Canis lupus familiaris: one gene and its partner. The protein of the gene in region 1 binds, or shares a complex with, the protein of each later gene. Links are inferred from orthologs where the notes say so. Each region holds a gene or a part of one and is shown on either strand. Other genes may lie near its edges.

The links. Proteins that work in one complex are often made in the same cells at the same time.
Region 2: the proteins of RPS6KA1 (region 1) and SYNJ2BP are in contact, whole or in part, in a crystal structure (PDB 7P74), measured with the Homo sapiens proteins. The link is inferred for Canis lupus familiaris from reciprocal best matches to the Homo sapiens genes RPS6KA1 and SYNJ2BP. Residues at the interface, in NP_002944.2 of Homo sapiens: Pro731, Ser732, Thr733, Thr734, Leu735; in NP_060843.2 of Homo sapiens: Arg18, Gly22, Leu23, Gly24, Phe25, Asn26, Ile27, Val28, Gln33, Ser45, Arg46, His78, Val82, Phe85, Arg86.

The regions. Positions count from the first base shown.
Region 1 is NC_049223.1:72,914,558-72,918,300, reverse strand, and holds the start of RPS6KA1 (ribosomal protein S6 kinase alpha-1), read left to right. Parts: upstream 1-1,405; 5' UTR 1,406-1,491; coding exon 1,492-1,626; exon of another isoform or gene 1,627-2,394; intron 2,395-2,415; exon of another isoform or gene 2,416-2,435; coding exon 2,436-2,552; exon of another isoform or gene 2,553-2,806; coding exon 2,807-2,888; exon of another isoform or gene 2,889-3,094; coding exon 3,095-3,175; exon of another isoform or gene 3,176-3,350; coding exon 3,351-3,430; exon of another isoform or gene 3,431-3,743. UniProt on the Homo sapiens protein: Serine/threonine-protein kinase that acts downstream of ERK (MAPK1/ERK2 and MAPK3/ERK1) signaling and mediates mitogenic and stress-induced activation of the transcription factors CREB1, ETV1/ER81 and NR4A1/NUR77, regulates translation through RPS6 and EIF4B phosphorylation, and mediates cellular proliferation, survival, and differentiation by modulating mTOR signaling and repressing pro-apoptotic function of BAD and DAPK1.
Region 2 is NC_049229.1:44,348,524-44,352,266, reverse strand, and holds the start of SYNJ2BP (synaptojanin-2-binding protein), read left to right. Parts: upstream 1-1,472; 5' UTR 1,473-1,512; coding exon 1,513-1,576; intron 1,577-3,743. UniProt on the Homo sapiens protein: Regulates endocytosis of activin type 2 receptor kinases through the Ral/RALBP1-dependent pathway and may be involved in suppression of activin-induced signal transduction.

The DNA of each region.
Region 1 (3,743 bases):
GGCCTGAAGAGCCTGTAGCTTCTTATGACTGTAGCTTTTGTGGCTCTCTGAGGTCCCCTGAAGATGGGGCCGTGTCTGTCGGGTCCTAGACCTAGAATGGGAAGTCCCTGGACTGATCCCGGTACTGAGGGAGGGGATGGGCTTGGATGGGCAGGGCATGGCTCTCGCTGACTTACCTGCTCACCCTTTCCTGGCACTTGAGGCCTGCTGACCCCATGCCAGGCAGTAACTAGGGGAAGGGTTTGAGTGTCACTGGCTCTGTCACTGGTCCATTCTCAGGCTGGGTGAGTCACGGTCCTCTGGCCCTTGGTTTCCTGTATCTGAAATGGGGATAACAGATTTGGGAAACCTGGATCAGAGTCAAAGCCATCAGACTGCATTCTCAGCCCACTGTGTTAGTCCTGGGGCCTCTCCAGGCCCTGGCATGGGATGAAACCTCAGAGGTGTGTCTGCCATGAATACTGGGCTGCTCTCTAAGATGCAGGATGTTTGCAGGTGATATCCCCTCACCTCTTCCCCCACCCCACCTCCCAGAAGACTAGCAAGAACCCAGAGCTCTGCCCTTGAGTTCCGGGCCTGGCTTTCTGTGCACTGGCCTGGGTATCTGTCAGTCTACTTGGGCCTTACTGACTGGCTTTCTCTTTCTGTGTCCCACCTGCCTCTGTTGTCGGGTTCCTGTCTCTTGCCACTTGATGAGTGCCTGTCTTCACCTGTTGGGTACATGTCACGTGTTGGGTGCCTGTTGGGTGGTGTCCCCTTCTGTCTCTGCCTGTTGAGTACATGTCCCCATCTGTCTCCACTTGTTGGATGCAAACCCCCATCTGCCTCTGCCTGTTGGGTCCCCATCTGTCTCTGCCTGTTGAGTTCACGTCCCCTTCTGTCTCTGCCTGTTGGATATATGCCCCATGCACCTCTACCTGTCAGGTATGAGTTCCCTCCTGCCTCTGTTTCGGTGGGTACATGTCCCCATCTGTCTCTGATCATTGGGTAAGTGTTCTTCCTACCTCCCTTTGCTGGGTATGTGTCCCTATCCATCCTTGCCTGGTGGGCATGTGTACCCTCCCACCTCTGCCTGTTGGATGCCTACCTTGGTCTGTCTTTACCTGTTGATGCCTGCCTCTATCTGTTGGGTGTCCCTCTTTATCTGCCTCTGCATGTTAGATGCCAGTCTTTGCCTGTTGGGTACCTGTCTCCCCCTCAGCAGCTGGAGTGGCATGGGGCTCTCCCTTTGTAGGCCCACAGGGAGGATGGGGGAAGGGGGAGGGCCGGAGGGCAGCACTCAGGCAACGGGGAGGGGGGCAAAAGAGAGGAAGGGAACGTGGTAAGATTGTAGGCCTGGAGCTGGGAAACCACAGGCCCTAAGTGATTGGCGGTGCTGAGCTGGGCCCAGCCCCCGCCCTCACCCTGCACATCCGCCTTGGGCCCGGCCACCTCGGAGGCAGCCCCGGACGCTGCCTGCTCCTGCCATGGTGCCTTGGCCCTGCCGGGCGAATGGAGCAGGATCCCAAGCCGCCCCGCCTGCGGCTCTGGGCCCTGCTCCCCTGGCTGCCCAGGAAGCAGCGGCCCAGGACCAGCCAGACCTCTTTGCCTGCCCCTGGCCCTGGCTCTGGCCCCAGGCGGGACTTGGTGAGTGTGCCCAGATGTGTGGTCCTGGCCCAGCTGTGGTCCTTGGAGCAGGTGCCTGGGCAGCTAGTTTGGCCTTAGTTGGCTTCCGGCTCTCCTAGCCCAGGCCTGGCCCTACTGGACAACTGGACCCTGCCCAGACTTGCTTCCTGGGGAAGTGAGGAAGCACTTCAGGGCTCCAGGGCAATCCCGGCAGATTGGAGGGAGGGCAGAAGGGTCCTAGAACAACTAGGACCAGCAACGGATTTTTAGAAAACTCCTAGAAGGAAGTTTCAAAGAGTGGATCATGGAGTCTCGGCCTTAGCTCCTGTCCACCCCTGACTGGCACTTACTGGGTTGGTGGGGGTGGTCTCTAGTGACTCTTGAGTGTCTGTGCATCTGAGCACTGTCCTTCTGGCCAAGGATCCTCTCATCCATTCTGACCCGGAACAAAAGCCTGGCTCTACCTCCCCGGTATGAGAATACACACTACTTCCTATTGTGGCAAAACTAACACCTTTGCAGCAGGGGGAGGGGAGTCCCACAGGCAGGACCTGGGCTGTGCCTGGGTATCCCTTTGGGTCTCACCAGGTCAGAGCAGCAGGGGCAGTAGGAGCAGTGCCTCCCCCTGACTCAGCACCTTGGTAGTTTGACCATCCCTGGCCCTTGAGGCCCTTTTGGTATTGATGAACCAGCAGGCTGGCCCCATCAGTATGGCCATCTGGTATGGCTAACAGGGCCCTGCCTCCAGGAGGAGTAGGCTAGGATGGGGACCATATTCCCTGCTCACCTGGATGGGACAACCATACTCACCAGCTCTGTTCCTCCATCAGGATGAGGGCGTCCTAAAGGAGATCTCCATCACGCACCATGTCAAGGCTGGCTCTGAGAAGGCCGACCCATCCCATTTTGAGCTGCTCAAGGTTCTGGGCCAGGGATCCTTTGGCAAAGTGAGTCCTGAGCCCAAACTGGGAGGGCAACTCATGTCAGAGGTGGGGGTTAGGGGTCACTTTGGGGTTCAGGATCAGAGGGCAAGGGTTGATGGGTCTGAGGGGAGGGCAGGAGGTCACTCTGGTACCCAGGGAGGCCCGAAGGTCAACCTAGGACTCTGGAAAATTAGAGGTCAACCTAGGACCCAGAGGATAGGAGCTGATAGGCTTAGTCCCCTCCCCAATTTCTCTGCTTTTTCCCATTGCCTTCTCAGGTCTTCCTAGTGCGGAAAATCACCCGACCTGATAGTGGGCACCTGTATGCCATGAAGGTACTAAAGAAGGCAACGCTGAAAGGTGAGTGAAGGTCACCTCCCCAAGCAGAGCCGAACTGGGCACAGGAGATGGGACTAGTGGGATGGGCAGGGTGCCAAGGGCTCTACTCTGGGCACTGCCGTGAGATGGGAGGGACACATGAAAGAGAGAGCCCTTCTTGGCCAGGGCTTGGGGATGACTGTTTTGAGGGGCTAGATTATCTGTGACTGCGTTTCTCTTCTGGCCAGTGCGTGACCGCGTTCGGACCAAGATGGAGAGAGACATCCTAGCAGATGTGAACCACCCATTTGTGGTGAAGCTGCACTATGGTGAGATCACAGACCCTACTTGAACTCCCACCCGACCTACCAGCCTTTGCCCTTGCCTGTGGGCTACTACCTTTCCCCTAGGTCACCCCTACCCCAGCAGACAAAGGGAGCTTAGGGTAGAGGGGCAGGGCCCAGGGCCCAGCTGGCTCCACCATTGCCTTTTCCCTCTCCCCAGCCTTCCAGACGGAGGGAAAGCTCTATCTTATCCTGGACTTCCTGCGTGGTGGAGACCTCTTTACCCGGCTCTCTAAAGAGGTAAGCTGACACTTGACTGCCATTGGGCCCCGGATTGGAGCTGGAGGGACAACGAGACCTCTTGTCCCAGGGCTCAGTGAAGAACATGTCCAGTGTGGCTTGGACTTGGGACCACTCAGGCTTGCCCCGCAGACCCGACCTAGGAACCCACTCTGGGACAGAGCGTACACCCTGGCAAAGCCTCAGAGTTTCTCCCAGGATGGAGGAGGAGGATCAGGCCATGGTTCTGATGCCACTCTGATTCCCAGGAGCTGAGGGTTCTTTCACCTCTGTACCTCCATTCTTCCGAGGTTGCCCTAGGCAGGGCTGTGAG
Region 2 (3,743 bases), on another chromosome or scaffold:
CCTTTCTGATATTTCTTACCCATTTCTTCTCCCTTCCCTTCTATTCCCTTTCACTATTATTTATATTCCCCAAATGAATGAGAACATATAATGTTTGTCCTTCTCCCATTGACTCATTTCACTCAGCATAATTCCTTCCAGTTCCATCCACTTCGAAGCAAACGGTGGGTATTTGTCGTTTCTAATGGCTGAGTAATATTCCATTGTATACATAAACCACATCTTCTTTATCCATTCATTTTCCGATGGACACCGAGGCTCCTTCCACAGTTTGGCTATTGTGGACATTGCTGCTAGAAACATCGGGGGGCAGGTGTCCCGGCGTTTCATTGCATCTGTATCTTTGGGGTAAATCCCCAGCAGTGCCATTGCTGGGTCGTAGGGCAGGTCTATTTTTAACTCTTTGAGGAACCTCCACACAGTTTTCCAGAGTGGCTGCACCATTTCTCAAGTTCTGTTTACATTCTGATATGGGGCTTTCAAGGGCATTGAGCTCTGTTCTTATTCTAATATGGGGCTTTCTAGGACGTTAAGCTTTAAGCTGTTTTCTTCCTGTAACTGAAGTAAGGTAAAGTTCGGCTCTTATTCACAGGGGCCTGGGATGGCTGTACTCGTGCTGACACTGAACTTAGAGTGGAATGGCCTTAATATTCTCGGCCTCCACAGACCCGACCAACCTGAGCTCAGGGCCCGGCCAGATATCAAGAGTTGGAGGATTAAAGGACTGAGCCACCTAGGTACCCCTCCTTTGTCTCTTCTATATATACATACAATTTTCTAAAAGCCCAAAAGCCTCTTGTGAGGTACAAGTCTCTGAAATGTAAATATCAAGGAAGATAGTGCCCCGTCTCCCCTCACCCGTAGGAGTTACCGCCTCAGCGCCTTGCTCCAAGCTTTTAAGTACCTGCTTGTCATAGTTTTATTTTCCTTTTGGATCACGGCAATTCAGTAACAAAGTGGGTGGCCACTACAGGGGCGACTTACCGAAGAACGAATACAGCAAACTCTTACACGAGAACGCGCATCGAACGGATGGTACCTGCCCGGCTACTTCGTGCTCTGCAGTCGCATTAGCGGCAACGCCTGGCACGCCCCTCCTCCCACTCGGGTCTCAGGATTACTGAGTAACAGAACTTATTTCCCACCCCCCACACCCAGGTTTGTAGCGATTTTCTAAGATGTCAGGAGATTTCATGTTTAATTTCTCCTCACCAATATCAACTGAGTGACCTCGACGACGCCCACTCCCGACGGTAAAGGAGGACGGCAAGCGGCTCGTCGCTCACCTCAGAGCTGGCGGCGCGGACCCGGGCGAGGTAAAGATGGCGGGCTGGCCGCCCGAACCACGACTCCCAGCATGCCCCGCGCTCCCAGCGCGCCCGCCTTCCTCTTCCGGTCCGCGGGCTGCTGAAACCGAAAGCGTTGTGCCTCGGGTGGCGCGCAGAGATTGGTTCACCTTCACCTGCGCGAGTCCCAGCCGACCCGGGCGCGGAGCCGGCCGAGCGGTGAGACATGAACGGAAGAGTGGATTACTTGGTCACTGAGGAGGAAATCAATCTTACGAGGGGACCCTCGGGTACGTGCGCACAGGTGGTCTCCGGGAGCAGGGTGCTTGAGGTTGTAATTGCGGAGCAGACAACCTCCTCTGCTGAGCCCCGGTTGGTTTGGCCTTGGAGCAGACAGGCCCCAGCCTAGAGGTTCCCTGCGACGCTTTGAGCACGTACAAGACCATATTGGCATCCTTCGTTAGCCGGACCCGGATCCGAGGAATCCACCTCATTTTTCAGTCGGATTGTCACATGTATTTATAGTCAGGGAGGTTTTCCTTGGCGGGCAAATTGTACCAGAAAGTTCTGCCCCAAGCCTGCTTTTTTAACACCACACCCCTCCTTCCGTTGCCTGCTTTTTATCCCTGTTCCCGTGAGGACCTGTTTAGTGAAAAATGGGAGCGTACACGGTGTTGACTGTAAACGCATGGCCGTTTTTTGTGTTTTTGTTTTTGTTGTTTTTTTAACTGCTGGAATCTCCCCTCCTTCTTTTCATTTTTTTGGGAAATTCATTTAGAGTGTCGACTGGAATGCTAAAACGCTAAGAAACCTTAGAGATCTGCCACAGCACTTTTTAAAGCTTACTTGGGCCTCAATATTACCCAGGGTTTCTCGGTTATGCTTTTGCTTTAAAAAAAAAAAAAAAATTTCCTAGGTCCCATCTCTTAGGAAATTGGATTCAATGCAGGTTTTGTTTGTTTGAGTTGTTTCTTCTCTCTTTTTTTTTTTTCTTTTTTTCAAAACAAGCACGTCCTGTGATTCTGATACCGCTAAATCCTCACTTAGCTTTCAGTCATCTTTCTCCTCAAACCCCTGTGTTTCCGCCAACGCTCTCACTCCACTGGGCTCTTAACTCATTATATGCAGCCTGCCTTGGGTTTTGTTGCCTCCCCTTACAGCTGTCTACTGATTTAAGAGCTTTGGCTCCGGGATTATGTAGATCCATCTGGCATCTAACCTCTTAATAGAACTTTGACATCGGTTGTCTGCCTAACTCTCCTGATAGAAGCTAAGCCTTAGTTTCTCATCCGTTAAAATGTGCGTGATAATAGAATATATTGCAAAGGGTTATGAGAATGAAATGAGTTAATCTATGTAAAACGTTCAGAACATTGCCTGACACCCTAGATAGCACTGTGTGTTTGCTTCCATTGTTGTTATTATTAATAGATGAATAGCTAGATTAGCACAAAAATCCTGCTAAATACTGTTATTCCAAGAGTCATCAAGTAACATGAGCTCTAGTTCTGAAATGTTTCCATAAATCTCTGCTCCTTTTGGCTCCATTACCATTTACTAGAACAGTCCATCATCTTGTCTCATGTGGAATTGTGCAATATCTTGAATACCACTTAGAGACTGTTCTTCATAAAATATACCTTTCAGAATCATCCGTACTTTGCCTTTTTTCTTGTCATAGAAGATTGGAAGTCAGCTTCACTTATGGATGTAATTCATTCTAATCTGCATGACTTAATGTCCTGCTTCAGAGGAGCACCTAAATGTTTGTTGAATGCTCATTCAGTATGCCCAGTTTTTTTGACTCCTTTTTCCTACTTTATGTAAATTTCTCCTCTTTTTTTTTTTTTAAGATGTTATTTATTTATTTATTTGAAAGAAAGAGCACAAGCAGGCAGAACCAAAAGGAGAAAAAGACTTTGATGAGCAGGGAGCTCGACAGACGGGTCAATCCCAGGACCCTGGGATCATGCCCTGAGCTAAAGGCAGACGCTCAACCGACTGAGCCACCCAGGTGCCCCTCTCCTCTCACTCTTCATATTTATTGACTTCTGAAGCTAATATGGAAAAGTATTGTTAAGCCAAATCTGCATTCTTATACTGTTCATCCACTGGTTCTTGTTCCTAGGGCCAGTTAAAACAATGCTAGTTCCTTTTCTGATTATCCTGCAAGTATTTAAAGACATCTAGTTGTTCTGCTCCTGTTTTGTCTTTTTCCTCTATAGCCTCAGTATCCCTAATTATTATATTAGCTGCCTTGATGTGATTTGGGATTTGATTCGTGTCTCCTAAGAATTTAATGTACTTTGACATAATTCTTTTGCTGTGGCATCCACAGCAGAGCAGAACTCTGATATTATCTTGGGTGTTCAAGTCACTGAATATATTTTTAAAGTTCAGTGTAATATCACTTCACCTTTTCTGGAGTTTGCATAGTAGGGTTGACTAATGTTCAGC